2 linked regions of the Anolis sagrei genome follow. Each later gene encodes a partner of the first gene's protein in a complex. Links are inferred from orthologs where the notes say so. Each region holds a gene or a part of one and is shown on either strand. Other genes may lie near its edges.

Region 1 (8,102 bases):
TGGGCAAAGCCCTCTTACTACATATTAAATATGATGTAGCACTCCATTTTTTTAAAAGTCTATATTTGAAAAATATTGATCATATTTTATTTACTTCCAAGATTTCTGCCAAAATTTCTCAGTAGAGGTCCACAGACAAACTAAACTACTGCCTGCTTTTGCTTTCATTCATTAATTGTTTGGAGATGTATATGCTTTTATGACCCTAGATTTAAGAGGCCATTCACTATTTGAGATGTATAGTGTTTTAGTGAGCTGAGCTCTACACTCAATTGCTTAAGAAAAGCTTTTGAGATAATTACCTGAAGAAGTGAAAAAGATTCCTCCATTATTCATAATGCCATGGATGCCTGCCATCTATAAATCAGGACATATGAGAGCATCCCGGTTTTAACATTCCATCTACCCTCCCCCCAGATTTTTTTTTAAAAAAGTCACTTTTCATATTTGGCATTTTACATACATTTCTGTGCCTCCCTCCAAAGTAAAAAGGGGTGGCACATGAAGTGAGTTGATTAGAAGCCCCAACAACATTAAGTTTATTAACTGAAAATCAACTTACAAATTTGGCATTGGCAAAAGCAAAACCCAATGGACCAGATCTTTGGCTTTGAAAGAGATTTGCTCTCAACCCCTATACCAGTTCCCAAATTGTAGGCTTATGATCTAGACAAAATCTACAGGATCTCATCTCCCCTGGATCTGAGTGCTGCCTTTTCATTATGATTCCATTTGTCGCCAAAATTTCCCTGTAGTTGTTGTTGTGTACTTTTAAGAATGGAGAAAACATGGACTCACATGTCTATTGCATGGAAACTATTAACATCTCCCACTCTTGGCAAGCCTCCTCCTCATCTTGACTGACACCTGCTGGTGACACCCGAGTGCTTAGCAAGTCTCTGCCTCATGGAGCTGCCTCCTTTCCTACCACTAGTCTAAGTCCATTGATTGCTAGCCTCTGCTGCCAGTATCACATCCAAAGTCCAAATCCCTTCCTTTTGTACCATGGGGAGGATGCTAAATCAATTGAATGGCCCTGGCTCACTGCTATGGAATCATGGGAATTGTAGCTTTACAATATCTTTATCCTTCTCTGCTTCTGCCCAAGAATGATGTTCTCTCACCAAACTACAACTCCTATTAGTCCATAGCATTAAGCTGTAGCTGTGAAAAGGGTATCAAAACACATTAATTCTACAGTGACAATGAACCCTACATCTAGGAAATAATTATTTCAGAAATTCTTGCAGAGTTTTTGCCTGTCACAGTTGAAAGCACTGAACTACCTAGACCAGTGGTTTTCAACCTGTGGGTCCCCAGGTGTTTTGGCCTACAACTTTCAGAAATTCCAGCCAGTTTACCATTTGTTAGGATTTCTGGGAGTTGAAGCCAAAGCATTTGGGGACCCAGAGGTTGAGAACCACTGGTCCAGGTAGTTCAGTGCTTTCAACTGTGACAGGCAAAAACTCTGCTTCCTGAGTACTTCTAGATCAGGGGTCCACAAACTTTTTAAACAGAGGGCCAGGTCACAGTCCCTCAAAATGTTGGAGGGCCGGATTATAATTTGAAAAAAAAAAACATGAATTAATTCCTATGCACACTGCACATGTCTTATTTGTAGTGCAAAAAACACTTAAAAACAATACAATAATTAAAATGAAGAACAATTCAATAAATATAAACTTATTAGTATTTCAATGGGAAGGGTGGTCTGCTTTTGGCTGATGAGATAGGATTGTTGTTGTTGTTGTTGTTTTTGTGTGCTTTCAAGTCATTTCAGACTTAAGCTGACCCTGAGTGAGGGCCGGGTAAATGACCTTGGAGGGCCGCATCCGGCCCCTGGGCCTTAGTTTGGGGACGCCTGTTCTAGATGAAAAGGTGGCACTACATGAATATTTCTTTTATATGAAGATTAACATCTCCCTCCCTGGTTACACAGAGGCATGAGAGCAACTACTGTTTATTGTTTATTTGTTCAGTCACTTCTGACTCTTCATAACCTCATGGACCAGCCCACGCAGAGCTCACTGTTGGCCGTGGTCACCCCCAGCTCCTTCAAGTTTAAGCCAGTCACTTCAAGGATGCCATCCATCCTTCTTATCCTTGGTCATCCCCTCTTCCTTTTTCCTTCCATTGGCCCAACATCATTATCTTCTCCAAGATTTCCTATCTTCTCATTATGTGGCCAAAGTAGAGTCTCCCTTATCCAACCTTCTCTCATCCAACATTCTGTATTATCCAACGCAGTCTGTGTCTTGCCCAAATCCATAGCTGTTTCAATATATTGTGAGGTTTTGGTGCTAAATTTGTAAATACAATAATTACTGTATTTACAAATTTATTTATTTACCATGAACTGAATTGCTTTTTCTGTCGATTTATTGTAAAATATTATGTTTTGGTGCTTAATCTGTAAAATCATAACAATTTAATGTTTAATAGGCATTTCCTTGATCCCTTCTAAGTATCCAACATTTTTGCTTATCCAATGTCCTGCCGGCACATTTATGTTGGATAAGTGAGACTCTACTATACTTCAGCTTTGCCTCTAATATCCTTCCCTCCAATGAGCAGCTGGGCATTATTTCCTGGAGTTATGGACTGCTTTGATCTTCTTGGGGAACTACTGCCTCCCAAATGTGGGACTGATTTCTGCACTCTAAATTTGCCTCATTACATTAGGGATGCAGTTTGAAGATAGCTTTCAACTGTGGCGGCCAGGCAACAATCTCCCAGAAACATGCATGAAGGGAAGCCCTTAGTGTACATCAGTGCTCTGTGTCTTGCGCAATCACCATTTGGTCTCAAACTGGTTCCAAGATTTCCTGTGTAATCAGCTGCACAGAGAAATCTATTTCCTCAGTAAATGTTAGAAACTGGGTTGTTGTAGGTTTTTCGGGCTGTATGGCCATGTTCTAGAAGCATTTTCTCCTGACGTTTTGCCTGCATCTATGGTTGTGAGGTCTTGTGAGGTCTTATGAGGATGCCTGGCATAGATGCAGGCAATAGTAAAGTTTATTGATTAGTCCACTGACCATATCAACAATAAAAGACAAAAACAAGAAAATACACAAATAGACACTACTCACTGTCCTAAAACTCCTGTAATAGTGAATATACATTAAAACACAATTAAAACTTGATTATGTTAAAAGTTAAAGATAATTAAATATCATCAGATGCAAGTGAAATATCAGGAGGGAATGCTTCTAGAACATGGCCATACAGCCCGGAAAATCTACAACAACCTAGTCATTCCAGCCATGAAAGCCTTTGACAATATATGTTATAAACTGCCTTAAATGGTCAGTATAGAGGAGTGCCCAGCTGTGAGATCATGACCCACTGCCATGCTTGGGGTCACTCTCAGATCGGAGTCCTTCCTTTCGCAACAGCAAGAGCCCAGGAGGTGATTGCCTACCTAGAGCTGGGCTTGGCCATTTGCGAGCATTAATGGTGCCCCCAGTGGCTCAGTGGGTTAAACCACTGAGCTGCTGAACTTTCTAACCAAAAGGTCACAGGTTCAAATCTGGGGAGCAGCGTGAGCTCCTGCTGTTTAGCCTCAGCTTCTGCCAATCTAGCAGTTCAAAAACATGCAAATGTAAGTAGATCAATAGGTACAGCTCTGGTGGGAAGATAACAGCGCTCCATGCAGTCATGCCAGCCACATGACCTTGGAGGTGTCTATGGATAATGCCGGCTCTTCAGTTTAGAAATGGACATGAGCCCCAGTCCCCAGAGTTGGACACAACTGGACTTACCTTTACCTATCCTTCCCTCCAATGAGCAGCTGGGCATTATTTCCTGGAGTATGGACTGCCTTGATCTTCTTCGGGAACTACTGTCCCTCTTATGTGGGAATGAATTCTGCACTCTAAACTTGTCTCTTTACATTAGGGATATCAGGCCCCATCTAATGCAGCTTCCCTAGATCTAGGGAAGTAATGCTACCCCTTTATTCTGCTTTGGTTAGACCACACCTGGAATATTGTATCCAATTCTGGGCACCACAATTCAAGAGAGATATTGACAAGCTGGAATGTGTCCAGAGGAGGGCGACTAAAATGATCAAGGGTCTGATCAAGCCCTGTGAGGAGTGGCTTAAGGAGCTGGGCATGTTTAGCCTGAAGAAGAGAAGGCTGAGAGGAGATATGATAGCCATGTATAAATATGTGAAAGGAAGCCACAGGGAGGAGGGAGCAAGCTTGTTTTCTGTTTCTCTGGCTTCAAACTACAAGAAAGGAGATTCCATCTAAACATGAGGAAGAACTTCCTGACTGTGAGAGCCGTTCAGCAATGGAACTCTATGCCCCGGAGTGTGGTGGAGGCTCCTTCTTTGGAAGCTTTTAAACAGAGGCTGTATGGCCATCTATCAGGGGTGTTTTGAATGCAATATTCCTGCTTCTTGGCAGGGGGTTAGATGCCAAGGTCTCTTCCAACTCTTTGATTCTATGATTCTATGAAGGTAGCTTCCAACTGTGGTGGCCAGTCAACAAACTCCCAGAACCGCATCTGAAAGGAAGCACTGTCTTGTGCAATCACCATTCGGTCTCAAACTGGTTCCACGATTTCCTATGTAATAATCTGCACAGAGAAAGCACTTTCCTCAGTAAATGTTAGAAAGGACCTTAAATGGTCAGTATAAACGGTGCTCCAGCTGTGAGATCGCGACCCGCTGCCATGCTTGGGGTCACTCTTAGATCTGAATCCTTCCTTCCTTCCTTCCTTCCTTCCTTCCTTCCTTCCTTCCTTCCTTCCTTCCTTCCTTCCTTCCTTCCTTCCTTCCTTCCTTCCTTCCTTCCTTCCTTCCTTCCTTCCTTCCTTCCTTCCTTCCAAGAGCCCGGGAGGTGACTGCCTTCTAGGGCTGGGCTTGAACCTTGTCGAGTTGCCTTCGGCGCGCTGGGCGCTGTCCGCCGCGCCCTGGTGCTGAACCGCGCCTCGCTCCCAGCCCCGTGCGTTGGGCATAGGCGGGGCCAAAGGCAAGCCGCGGAAGCTTTGGGGAGGGCGCCATCTATCTGCCGCGCGGGGCGACGCAGCCGGAGAGGCAAGCCCCTTGGACAACGTCGGAGGAGCGCCTCCGCCAGCTTCCGCGCCCCGATTGGGATCCGAGCGCCCCCAGCGAGCGAGAGAGCGAGCGAGAGAGCGCCTCCCTCCCTCCCTCCGCCCCTCTGGGCAGCGGGAGTGCCCGCCTTCAGCATCTGGATGGCAACCTCTCAGCCCTATCTGCGGAGCAGGGGCTCGGGAAGGGGATGGCGTGGCGTGGCGCGGCGTGGCGAGTGAGCCCCCGGCCCAGGAGGTAAGGAAGGCAGGCGGTGGGGCAGGAGGGGAGGGGGCTGTGTGTGTGTGAGCCGCGGGGAGGGGCGGATTCCCCTTCCAGGCAGGGAAGAGGCACGAGTTTGCCTCTCTCCTTGGAAGTCCTACCTGCAAGTGGGGAGGAACAGGCATCACCCTTCTTCTCCCCCCCCCCCCCCGCCCCCGTTCCCCTCCTGCCTTTTCTCTCCCGTGTTCTGGCTTCCCGCCCTCTGCCAACTCGCGCATCAGCTCCTTCTGCTGAACTCCTACACACACGCGCGCACACACACATACCCCGCTTAAGTATAATCTGAATCTCCCAACGAGATGACGCACGCGGGGAGGAAAAGGCAGCCCAGCGCCTCTGTATTCCGAGTCCACATTTGGTCTGACTTTCTCCAAGTGGCTCCGCTCCGCATCCCTCGCTCCCTCCCGGCTAAGAGTGCGCCCGTCGGGTGCGGTGTCGTGGAAAACGGACCTAACCCAACGCAGAAGTGAAGTTTTAGCAAAAGGGGGACCTGAAGGACATGAGGCTTTGCCCTCCTCGGGGTGGGAGGGATTGTAGACAACCGAAGGCGCGGAGACTATGTGTCCAGGGAGGCAGCGATGAACTGAAGAGTTGTCTCTCCTTCCCTTGGAAAGCAAGGGAGTAGGAATGAGAAACTTTGCCGGCAAGAGCTACCAGGGCAAGGGCACCGAAGGAGCCAACAGGTAATTTTTCTGTCCCTCGCCAGCATCACATCCCCATTCTTTGCCACGCATTTTGTTTGTGTGGACGGTTTCTCTTGGATGTTGCCCTCAGTGCCTAAGGTATGTTTCCAAACCTCTTTCTTTCCAAGAGAGGCGCTTGAATCTTGGTCTCTGAATCCTCTGAGAGGAGAAAGTTGGAAGCGCTAGAGGAGACTCACCAGTCTGATCAGGTTCACACAGTGAATCCACAAGATGGATTGGAGGGTGGTTGGTTGTGTTGATATGCATTCCAACTCAGTAGTTTATCAAGCACAGCAATAACAAGGAAAGCTGTTTAGTCACCTTCCCCGGGGCTAATGACGTTGTCTGAGTCCTGCAACCTGCATCTGGAGAATCCAGAGGTAGGCAAGATCATTAACATTTCTTCTCAAGGACGAATCTTTATCTCTCTTCTCTATGCCTGTGTAGATCCCCTCCTGTATTATATGGGCACTAGGCAATTATTTCCTTTTACTTTAAGTGTGTGTGTGTGTGTGTCAGGAGCAACTTGAGAAACTGCAGGTCGCTTCTGATGTAAGAGAGTTGGCCGTCTGCAAAGATGTTGGCCAGGGGACACCCGGATGTTTTGATGTTTTACCATTCTTGTGAGAGGCTTTTCTCATGTCCCCACATGGGGAGCTGGAGCTGACAGAGGGAGCTCATCCATGCTCTTCTCAGATTCCAACCTCTGTCTTGTCAGTCTTCAGTCCTGCCAGCACAAGGGTTTAACCCTTTATGCCACCGGGGGCTCCAGTTAAGGTCAAGCCATTGGTGTGATGCTGAATGGGAGGTTGGATAGGACAAGTGAAGTTTGCATGCTTTTATCCTGTTGCTTTTTAGCTTTGCTGGGGAAAGAAGAGAGGAAATCCTTTGCAAATAGTTTTATTATTCCCCACCATAGAGAATAAGGGTGATGAGAGATTAATTGAAAAAGGGTGTAGAAGCCTTTCCTGAACTTGCATTTTAAATGAAAGGATACTTGAATCTGGAGCCTGACCCATATTTTAAAAGACAATCAAGTAAAGACTCGGCATAGTATTTTCCACCCAAACTTCTTTTCTATGAAACTCCCATTCTAGTTTGTCAGCTATTATCCTTTAGCACTGTTGTGGTCTGTTTGTATAGATAGTACTTATAAATACTTATAAATCTTTTTAAACAAATCCTAGCTAAGGATGTTCGGAGGCATTCCGAAATATTGGCATAGTTGGCAGAAGTTAATGAGATGAAAATTCATCACTTCTTTCCTGTTCCTCCTGAGTGAACAGGAATAAATATGTGCTCCTCCGGAGTGAATAGGCATAAACTTGGAAGTTCTCTTCTTTGGTGTGCTATCAATTCCAGGAAGAAGTGTGGATTTGTCTTTTCAAAAAGAAATCAAATTATTGTCTGTGAAGCAAGATGTAGCCCAAACAAGGCTTATGTCTATATGCCAAAAGGACAAAAAGGGGGGGGGGGGGAATGGAGTGGCAAGACAGATGAGATCTTTGGGGGAAAGGTCATTTTGAAACAAGAAAGAGAAACTATGTATAGGTTTTGCTGAAGAAAGAGACACTGTGTATAGCTTTTGTTGTATCATTTTGGGTTAACTAGAAAAAATATGGTCTGTTTGCTTCTGCAGTCCATTGAAATTTGCTTTAACTCAAAAGGGTCACTTTGTGCATACAAGCCCTTCTAGTCTTACTCTCAACAGCAGTCTGTTAGATGAAGGGCATTAGGATGACATTGGTGTCTGAAGGCATCATAACAACCTTAACATTATTTCTAACAATGTATGTCTAATCAAAACTCTAAAATTCCCTTTTCATTGTGTTCAATAGGAAGAGAAAAACACTTTTGTAGAATTTACTTCCTTTCTTATGGTGTTTTACATACCTCACAGTCCTTGTTGTAAATGCTACATATTTATGTGTGCACATGTGCATGGGGGTGTTTCTTTACCCTCTTCTCATCTGGCTATCAAAATAGATATCATTTAAAATACTTTTGCACACACTTGAAGATTGTAGAATATTAAAGATTGTTTGCAGTATTTTCCATCAAGTTTTTATTTTGGGGGTAGGAGGGAGGCTTTAGGGGAA
Region 2 (7,320 bases), on another chromosome or scaffold:
TTTTTAAAATTGTGTCAGAAGCAAATTGAGAATATACTGGATGTGTGAGAGAATTGGGCATCTGCAAGGACGTTGCCTAGGGAATGCCCAGAGGTGTTAACATCCTGTGAGAAGCTTCTCACATGTCCCTGCATAGGAAGTTGGGGCTGACAGATGGGGGCTCACCTCATCTTGTGGATTTGCATGGCCAACCTTCAGGTCTTCAGGTCAGCAGTTCAGCCGGCACAAGGGTTTAACCCATTGCACCACCGCGGCTCTGCTATAATTGCTAATATGACAAGTTTGTCCCTTTCAGAAGCATACATACTAAAAAAGAAAACAAATAAAATTGTCATCCCGCAAGACAGCCTACACTACAGTTTCTTGGTCATGGGTGTTCACCATATTTGCCACTGTCTCTCAAAAAGTCAAAATACGATGATAGAAAAAAAGAAGGCAGAGAGGGAAAACAACTTGCATTCAAAAAACCTGGGTAATGAATTCCCTTAACCCATGTAACAATACTGCAACTACAGTTTACTTTGTTTATTTCAGATGATTTTTCCATGTAGGTGCTAAGTACCATGGCTCTGCATCGGCTCAAGATTTTAGGAGGCCTGAGAGAAGATAAACTCTGAACTTCTAAGCATTTTTAACAGCAGGTTACAGAGCACACTGCTGAGTCCTGTGAGCATGGTTTTACAGCCTGAAAGGCAGCAGCAATTAACAAGCAAAGCTGCAGAAAAGATGTAGCCCATCAGCCCAGAGTGATGTTGGATTAGGAGAGACTGCTTACTGCAAAGATTTAACAGGCATACTGTTGCAGTGCTTGAATGAAGCTGAATGGCGCTCTTGCACAATACGCTAGCTATGACAAACAAACAAACAGACAAAAACTTGTTTCAAATTTTCCTCTCATCCAGGATTTTGTGATGGCAGCAGCCCTAGTAAATGATTCAGAAACACAATTATGCCCTGATTGCAACTTATAAAGATCTAGTATTGCACTGTGCTAGAGCTTCCTCCACAAACTGATTACAGCAATTTGATTTTTCCAGGAGCATGGTGTTAATACAAAACAAGTGATTTATCTTTTTGGAAACAACAGAATTTCACAGTTGGAATTACAGCCAAGAACAAACAGAAAAGAAACCTTGCACTCACATGGACGGCTCTGCCAATGCATGCTGCTGCAGAATTTCAAATTGCTTCCTTTCGTAATGCACTAAGGTGAGTCCCTTTCTTGATACCATCCTACTTTGGTGGTTTATTAATGCCATTTTTATTTTGTCTTGCAGACATCTCAATGGATTCCATTTCCTATCAGGGTAAATTGATCTATTATTGCATTTAAAATCAGAATACTTAAAATGATTTGAGATCAATGACAACTGTTGGTCAATACTTACCTAGATCAATATTTCCTTAGATAATAATTGCATATTAAAATGCATTTATTACTTTTTTCCAAGGCAAGTTTTAATCCAGATAGAACAGAAGTAGTTTAACTATAGGGGTGACTATTGGTCTTCTGATAGTTTCTCCTCTACTTGATAAAGAAAGGGACAAACTTTTATTGATATAATCACATGCTCTGAAGTGAGCCCAAAGTTCAGCAGAACTCCCTCCGAAGTTCAGTGTATACACTGCAGTCTCATTTACTGTTTTGTGTATATATCGTTGATTTCATGTTTCAGCCTAATTTAATAATTGTTAAGTACTGCCTTTAGAATAACTTCAAACAGGTGTTCGAGAAAGTAAACATAGCATATTTATTAGCAGTGCCCCACTCCCCAAAAGTAAAAAGAGTAAAATGAGAGGGATTATATACTATTATTTTCATTTTGAGCATTCACTTTTGTGAAAATACATTGATTTTTAATGTATTCCATAAGCATAACCATGAGTGTTAAACTTTGTTAAGATATGGAAAACAGATTCAACCCCCCCCCCCAAACTTGACATGCATTCCTAGGTAAAAATCTATTCATCTCTAATATTTCCAATAATAAATAGGAGGGGGCTTATATTAGAGAGCAAAATTTCAGTTGCTGCTTGTCTCCTGAGTTGTCGTGGGTGGCCATCTGTCATTTAATTTTTAAAGCATCCAAAAGTGTATTTGGTGGAAAGAAAAGCATGCCTCTGTATAGCCTGGGACTTCTTTGTGAGTAGACATGTTTAAGCTACTTCTCTCTATCTCAACATGTTCTATGCACATCTCAGAGTCCTAAGAATTAGATGCTTTACAATTAATCCAAATGAAACATAATCACCACACAGGAGGTGAATGATGGTGAAGCAGTACTTACAGGAAGATATTTGACAATTTCAGAACTGGAAAAAGAGCACACATACACACAATGTAAACATACTACTTAACAGGAATCCCAGAAGCTTGCAAGAGCACACTACACAATTCAGCACTGCAGAATGAAGCAAGGAAGAGATTTGAAGAAGGAAAAACAGCCATACGAGAAAAACGAAATGGTCTTTCTCACAGTGCCATCCTATACATGTCTACTCAAAGGTAAGTCTTTACTGATTTCAGCAAAGCTTACCCTTGGGGTAGCTGGGCACAGAATCGCAAGCTCAGAGTGCCACTATAGTTAAAGAAAAAGTATAGAGGAGGTGGTAAAACTTGGAGGTTCTCTTACCATCTGATAAGTCAATTAATCCAAGGTAGTGCAAAAGTTTCAGAGAAGAGCAAATCACCACCACAATCCCTAAAGTCTGCAGCCCTTCAGACTCTCCTTTGCTCCACATCTTTTCAGATAACACCCAGATAGTAGGCTCTGGTGTGCTAGTGAAGCGACAGGCAGGGATTGAAAGCAGGGTGGAAATCAGCTGTTTGAAGCTTTTCTTCCTGCTGCTCCTTAAGTGCATGGCTCATTTTCTCTCTCTTTCGTCCCTCTGTCTCTCTTTGTGCGGGAGTGTGAGTCTCACCCTGTCCCTGTTCCTCCGCCTTTCCCCAATCTCACACTCTTCCAGCCTTTCTCTCTTCTAAATTTTTAACCTGAGTTTGATTCCCTTTTCTCTCCCTCCTTCTCTCCCTCTCCTCCATCTCCCTCTCCCTCTCCCTTTCCAGGGCAACTGTCTCAACAGTTTATGCTGCTCATTTACAACTTAACACCATGTTGCTAACCTCAGCAACTGTGGGTCCGAGAGTTATTTTGCCTTTGAGATTGTATGTTGCTCTCTGCTCAAATGGTAGTGTCTTCCCCCTTTCTTGCTAAAAAAGATTTTGAGTCACTTCCTATGCCCATTTTCCCCCTGATCATTTGATTATGACTTTTTGCTTTCTTGTAATTGAGAATACTCCCTAAGAACTGTTCAGACCACCCAAAGGATAGATCCAACATCAGCAACATGAAACAGGAGATCAGGAAAACAGAGATGAGAGGGCTGGAGAGTTAGTGAGGGGTCTGTCTCAAAGCTATTGGCAAGTGCCTCCTGTTACAAATTTCTGATGTGGGCCCCTATACCATGGTATAGATATATAACATAGTACCTATGTGTTGTCTCTTCAAATAATTTCAAATTTATGGCAGCCCTAAGGCAAATCCATGAGGTTTTCTGAGGTTGAAAGTGAGACTTGCCAAAGGTCACTCAGTGGTCTTTAGAGATGTAATCAAATTCTCAAATCACCACACTATGCTGTCTCTCCATGGCACCTATACCATGTGTTATATACAACAGCATATATCACTAGCATTAGAGGTTGTTGGGGTGAGACACTTGCCAATAGTTTTAAGGCTCCAGACTGTGTTCTCATTTCCTGTCAAGTATCACCCATTCTGCTACTGCAGCTACTACCAATAAGCCTGCTCTCCATCTCTAGACACTAGTGGGTGGCAACATGAAGGCAGCCAAACCAGCTGCTGCTTGTCTCTGGGTTGTCTCTCAATTTCACTGCCCTTAAATATCAAATATAATGTCTTTAGACCATTAAACTAAGGTGTTTGTGTGTGTGATAAGTTGCCAGTTGCCCATCATGCTTTGGAAATGAGTGGGATAGAAATACCTGCCCCATAGCTATATTTCCTATTTCCACTGCACTACTTCTGCTATGACCCTTATGGTAAATATATACAGGGGAGGGGTGAAGGGTTAGTAGCAGTAGCTGCAGTATTGGCCACAGGATCCAGGGTCTGCGTAAGATTATAAGGGATGGGCTTTTATTACCCAGTGTCCCACGGGGATAGCATACCAAAGTCCTACCAAATCTGGCATAGTTCCTGAGTGGATCCAGATGTACTCTAGTCTGCTACTATTGATTAAAGATTTTTTCTCCATGATCCAGTTGGAAAAGCAAAATGTAGTGCCCCAGTAAATAAAATCCAATTTAAATAAAACATAATTCTGTGTTTGTTGTTGTGTGCCTTCCAGTCATTTCTGACTTATGGTGAGATTAGCAAGATTTGTTCAAAGGACTTTGCTGAAAGAGTGTGCCCAAATTCACCCAGTATGGAAAATTAAGATGTACATCCTGTTGATAAATCTGTGTTCTGAATTTCTGTGAAATTTGAAGAACAGGCAGATATAGACATCACAAATAGCATCTTGTTTTCTTAGAAATGATATGAGATCCTGATTCAAATATCTGATCATATTTAATAAAGCTCAAAATTTCATTGTGTGTGTGTGTGTAGAAAGTAATATCTTTTATATTTTCTAAAACCTTTTCAAAAGCAAACCCAGCAGGTCATACATTTAAATATGGCCAAATTGGCAGAAGAGACTGATTAATTCTTCTTCTCCACATGTATTTCTACTCAACATGAACTTGCATTTGACCCTGTATCTGTAAGACCAATACCCAGTGTTTTATTCACCCATGTCTGACAAAATACATAATCTCTAAGCATTTTATAGATCCTCCAGTCAACTCTCGAGTATTCTTCAGAAAGAAGGTTTCATTGTTATCTGCAATTCCATGTATTCATTCAAAGTCGGGAAACATGTCCTATTTGGACAAAGATGTTGTACTTTAATGGGAAACATATTGGTTCCTGTTCTTTTATATCCTACAAATGGCAAAACAGTCAAGGATGCAATATTTGAGGAAGATGACTAGAGAAACATTGGGAGGGTCTCATTGACAATAGTAGTCACTTGACACTATATGAGTAATGCTGACATGTTTTTAGTTAGTTAAAATAAAAAAAAAACACATGTCCCAGATCAGACTCCTCCAAAAACAATGTTTTAGGATCAATTAGGAAATGATTCTATAACAATCTAATAGTATTATTCATCATTATATAATGCTATAAAATGATATTATGCCCACTTTCCCCTAAAATAATGTGTTATAGGTATGGGCTGGATCCAGGCCTGTAGCGAGGGGGGGGGGGTTAGGGGTTCAACCCCCCCCCCGAAATGTTTCAGGTTTTTTTTTTAAAAAACCCAGTTTACTCATGAATTTTAACTGGTTAACCAAATCCCCATGCTAAGTCTATGAGATGCAAAAAATTAAGAGTCCCTCCAGAACTACAAGCACTATCTCAAGCAAATATTTATTTATTATTCGAACGTATATGCCGCCACTCCCCTGGGGCTCGGAGCGGCTTACAAGAACAGGCTAAAATCGAACACAATTTAAAACAATTTAAAAACAGGCGAAACGTCAGGAGAAATGCCTCTAGAACATGGCCATATAGCCCGAAAAAACCCACAAGAACTGAATTTAAAAACAGCAATATCAGAGATCAAAGGCCCGTCGAAACAGATATTTATTATATTTATATTTATTTCAAAGTTTTCTATACCGACCTTCTCACCTCATTGAGGGACTCAGCCCGGTTTCCAACCATAAAAACACATACAAGATATGTCTTACATGCCCTGTGGAAAGCTGATAAGTTCCGCAAGGCACGGACCTCAGGTGGCAGAGTATTCCAGAGTGATGGTGCCACTGCTGTAAAAGCTCTGCGTCTGGTTGCTGTTAGACGCAAGGTCTTGACACTGGGAATTTCCAATAGATCTTGGTCCTCAGAACGGAGGGATCTCTGGGGTTGGTAGGGGGTGAGGCGGTCCCTCAGGTACATCGGCCCCAGACCATGCAAGGCCTTAAATATTGACAATTTATTCACACTGTCATTACTTGCAGCAATAGCCGATGTAGTGAAGCAACCAAGTTGTGTGTGTGTGTGTGTTGAATTCTCTCATTAAGGAGGCCAGACTTGGTGGAGGTGGTTGACAGGGGTGGAGCTGCAGGCTATTGAAGGCTGCTCTGCCCCCTGCTGTGCCCTATGCTTCAGCGTGAGCTAGAAGTCAGGTTTCAACCCCCCCCCCCCCCCCGCAAAATTTTCAACCCCTCCCCCCTGAAAATTTCAACCCCTCCCAAAAAATTTTTCTGGCTACGGCCCTGGAGCCTGGATCATATTGAGGAGTTACAAATGTACAGTATAACTACTGTGGGTACAGAGCTATGAGAGAATTCCAGCCCAATTCTTCCCATTGTCACTTGCTACAAAAGCAGTTGCTACAGTTGATGGAGTCAGTTTCCCTATAACTTGGAGAGTGGCAGACTAAGATTTCCACCACTCTCTTGCAGAATTGTGGTCTTTGTCAGAGTTCCCCCTCACAGCACAAATTGTTGGCATGATGGAGGCTGGGAATACCAATAAGCTGCTTTCCAAGTGACAGGGGATTTCAATGGCTGCTTCTTCATAAGTAGGAATGGAGAGACTTTCATGTTTCCTAGGTGTTACCCAAATTGTGAAGGTTAGTTTATCCATAACCCCCCAACAGCACTTTGTCCCATGTTATTACTGGTGATGCGTTATGTGTATTTCAAGCTCTGAATGTTAAAAACCAGGGGTGGAGATAATTTGTCTTTCAAGGTATTGTGAGATCACAATTTCCAGAATTTCCCCATTGCTCTGGTGCCTGACCTCTCTCTCTTAACTAAAGTATACTGGCCACAAACTCTGAAGCAAAGTCATGAGATTGGATCAAATACTTTATGGTTCTCACAGTGTTCCTGTGATCATAAATGAGCTACGAATGGCAAATGGCTGCATACTGAAAAGCAATTACTATGAATAATAAAAAGTAATATATTTCTGTGAAGAGAAGATTATTTCTAGAATGGCTGATCTGGAGAATGTATTTCATATTATGTGATAATGAAACTCCAATCTCTTGAAGGTTTTTCATTCATAGGATCACCATTATATGAAGCCTGTTTAATGGCATATAGTAACAAATTTCTAATTTGCCTTTTCACATGAAAACAACAGTTACCTTAATCCACCTAGAATAACATGGGGTACCTAAGAGCTTTCACTAGATTGTCTAAAATGTATTAAATATGAAGGTACAACTCCAGCAAATATG

Evidence for each region.
Region 2: the proteins of KCND3 (region 1) and KCNIP1 are in contact, whole or in part, in a crystal structure (PDB 2NZ0), measured with the Homo sapiens proteins. The link is inferred for Anolis sagrei from reciprocal best matches to the Homo sapiens genes KCND3 and KCNIP1. Residues at the interface, in NP_001365898.1 of Homo sapiens: Ala6, Ala7, Trp8, Leu9, Pro10, Phe11, Ala12, Arg13, Ala14, Ala15, Ala16, Ile17, Gly18, Trp19, Pro21, Val22, Pro26, Met27, Pro28, Leu29, Ala30, Pro31, Lys34, Lys36, Arg37, Asp39, Trp54; in NP_001030009.1 of Homo sapiens: Leu67, Arg69, Gly70, Phe71, Glu74, Val80, Phe85, Ile88, Tyr89, Phe92, Phe93, Tyr101, Leu105, Phe109, Phe122, Ala125, Leu126, Leu129, Leu130, Leu138, Trp140, Thr141, Leu144, Tyr145, Ile161, Val162, Ile165, Tyr166, Met168, Met169.

Annotation. Positions count from the first base shown.
Region 1 is NC_090024.1:199,882,284-199,890,385, reverse strand, and holds the start of KCND3 (A-type voltage-gated potassium channel KCND3), read left to right. Parts: upstream 1-5,027; 5' UTR 5,028-5,296; intron 5,297-5,533; exon of another isoform or gene 5,534-6,003; intron 6,004-6,298; exon of another isoform or gene 6,299-6,383; intron 6,384-8,102. UniProt on the Homo sapiens protein: Pore-forming (alpha) subunit of voltage-gated A-type potassium channels that mediates transmembrane potassium transport in excitable membranes, in brain and heart. In cardiomyocytes, may generate the transient outward potassium current I(To).
Region 2 is NC_090022.1:103,582,643-103,589,962, forward strand, and holds the start of KCNIP1 (A-type potassium channel modulatory protein KCNIP1), read right to left. Parts: upstream 3,043-7,320; 5' UTR 2,863-3,042; coding exon 2,634-2,862; intron 2,507-2,633; exon of another isoform or gene 2,075-2,506; intron 1,231-2,074; exon of another isoform or gene 1,166-1,230; coding exon of another isoform or gene 1,144-1,165; exon of another isoform or gene 622-1,143; intron 1-621. UniProt on the Homo sapiens protein: Regulatory subunit of Kv4/D (Shal)-type voltage-gated rapidly inactivating A-type potassium channels. Regulates channel density, inactivation kinetics and rate of recovery from inactivation in a calcium-dependent and isoform-specific manner.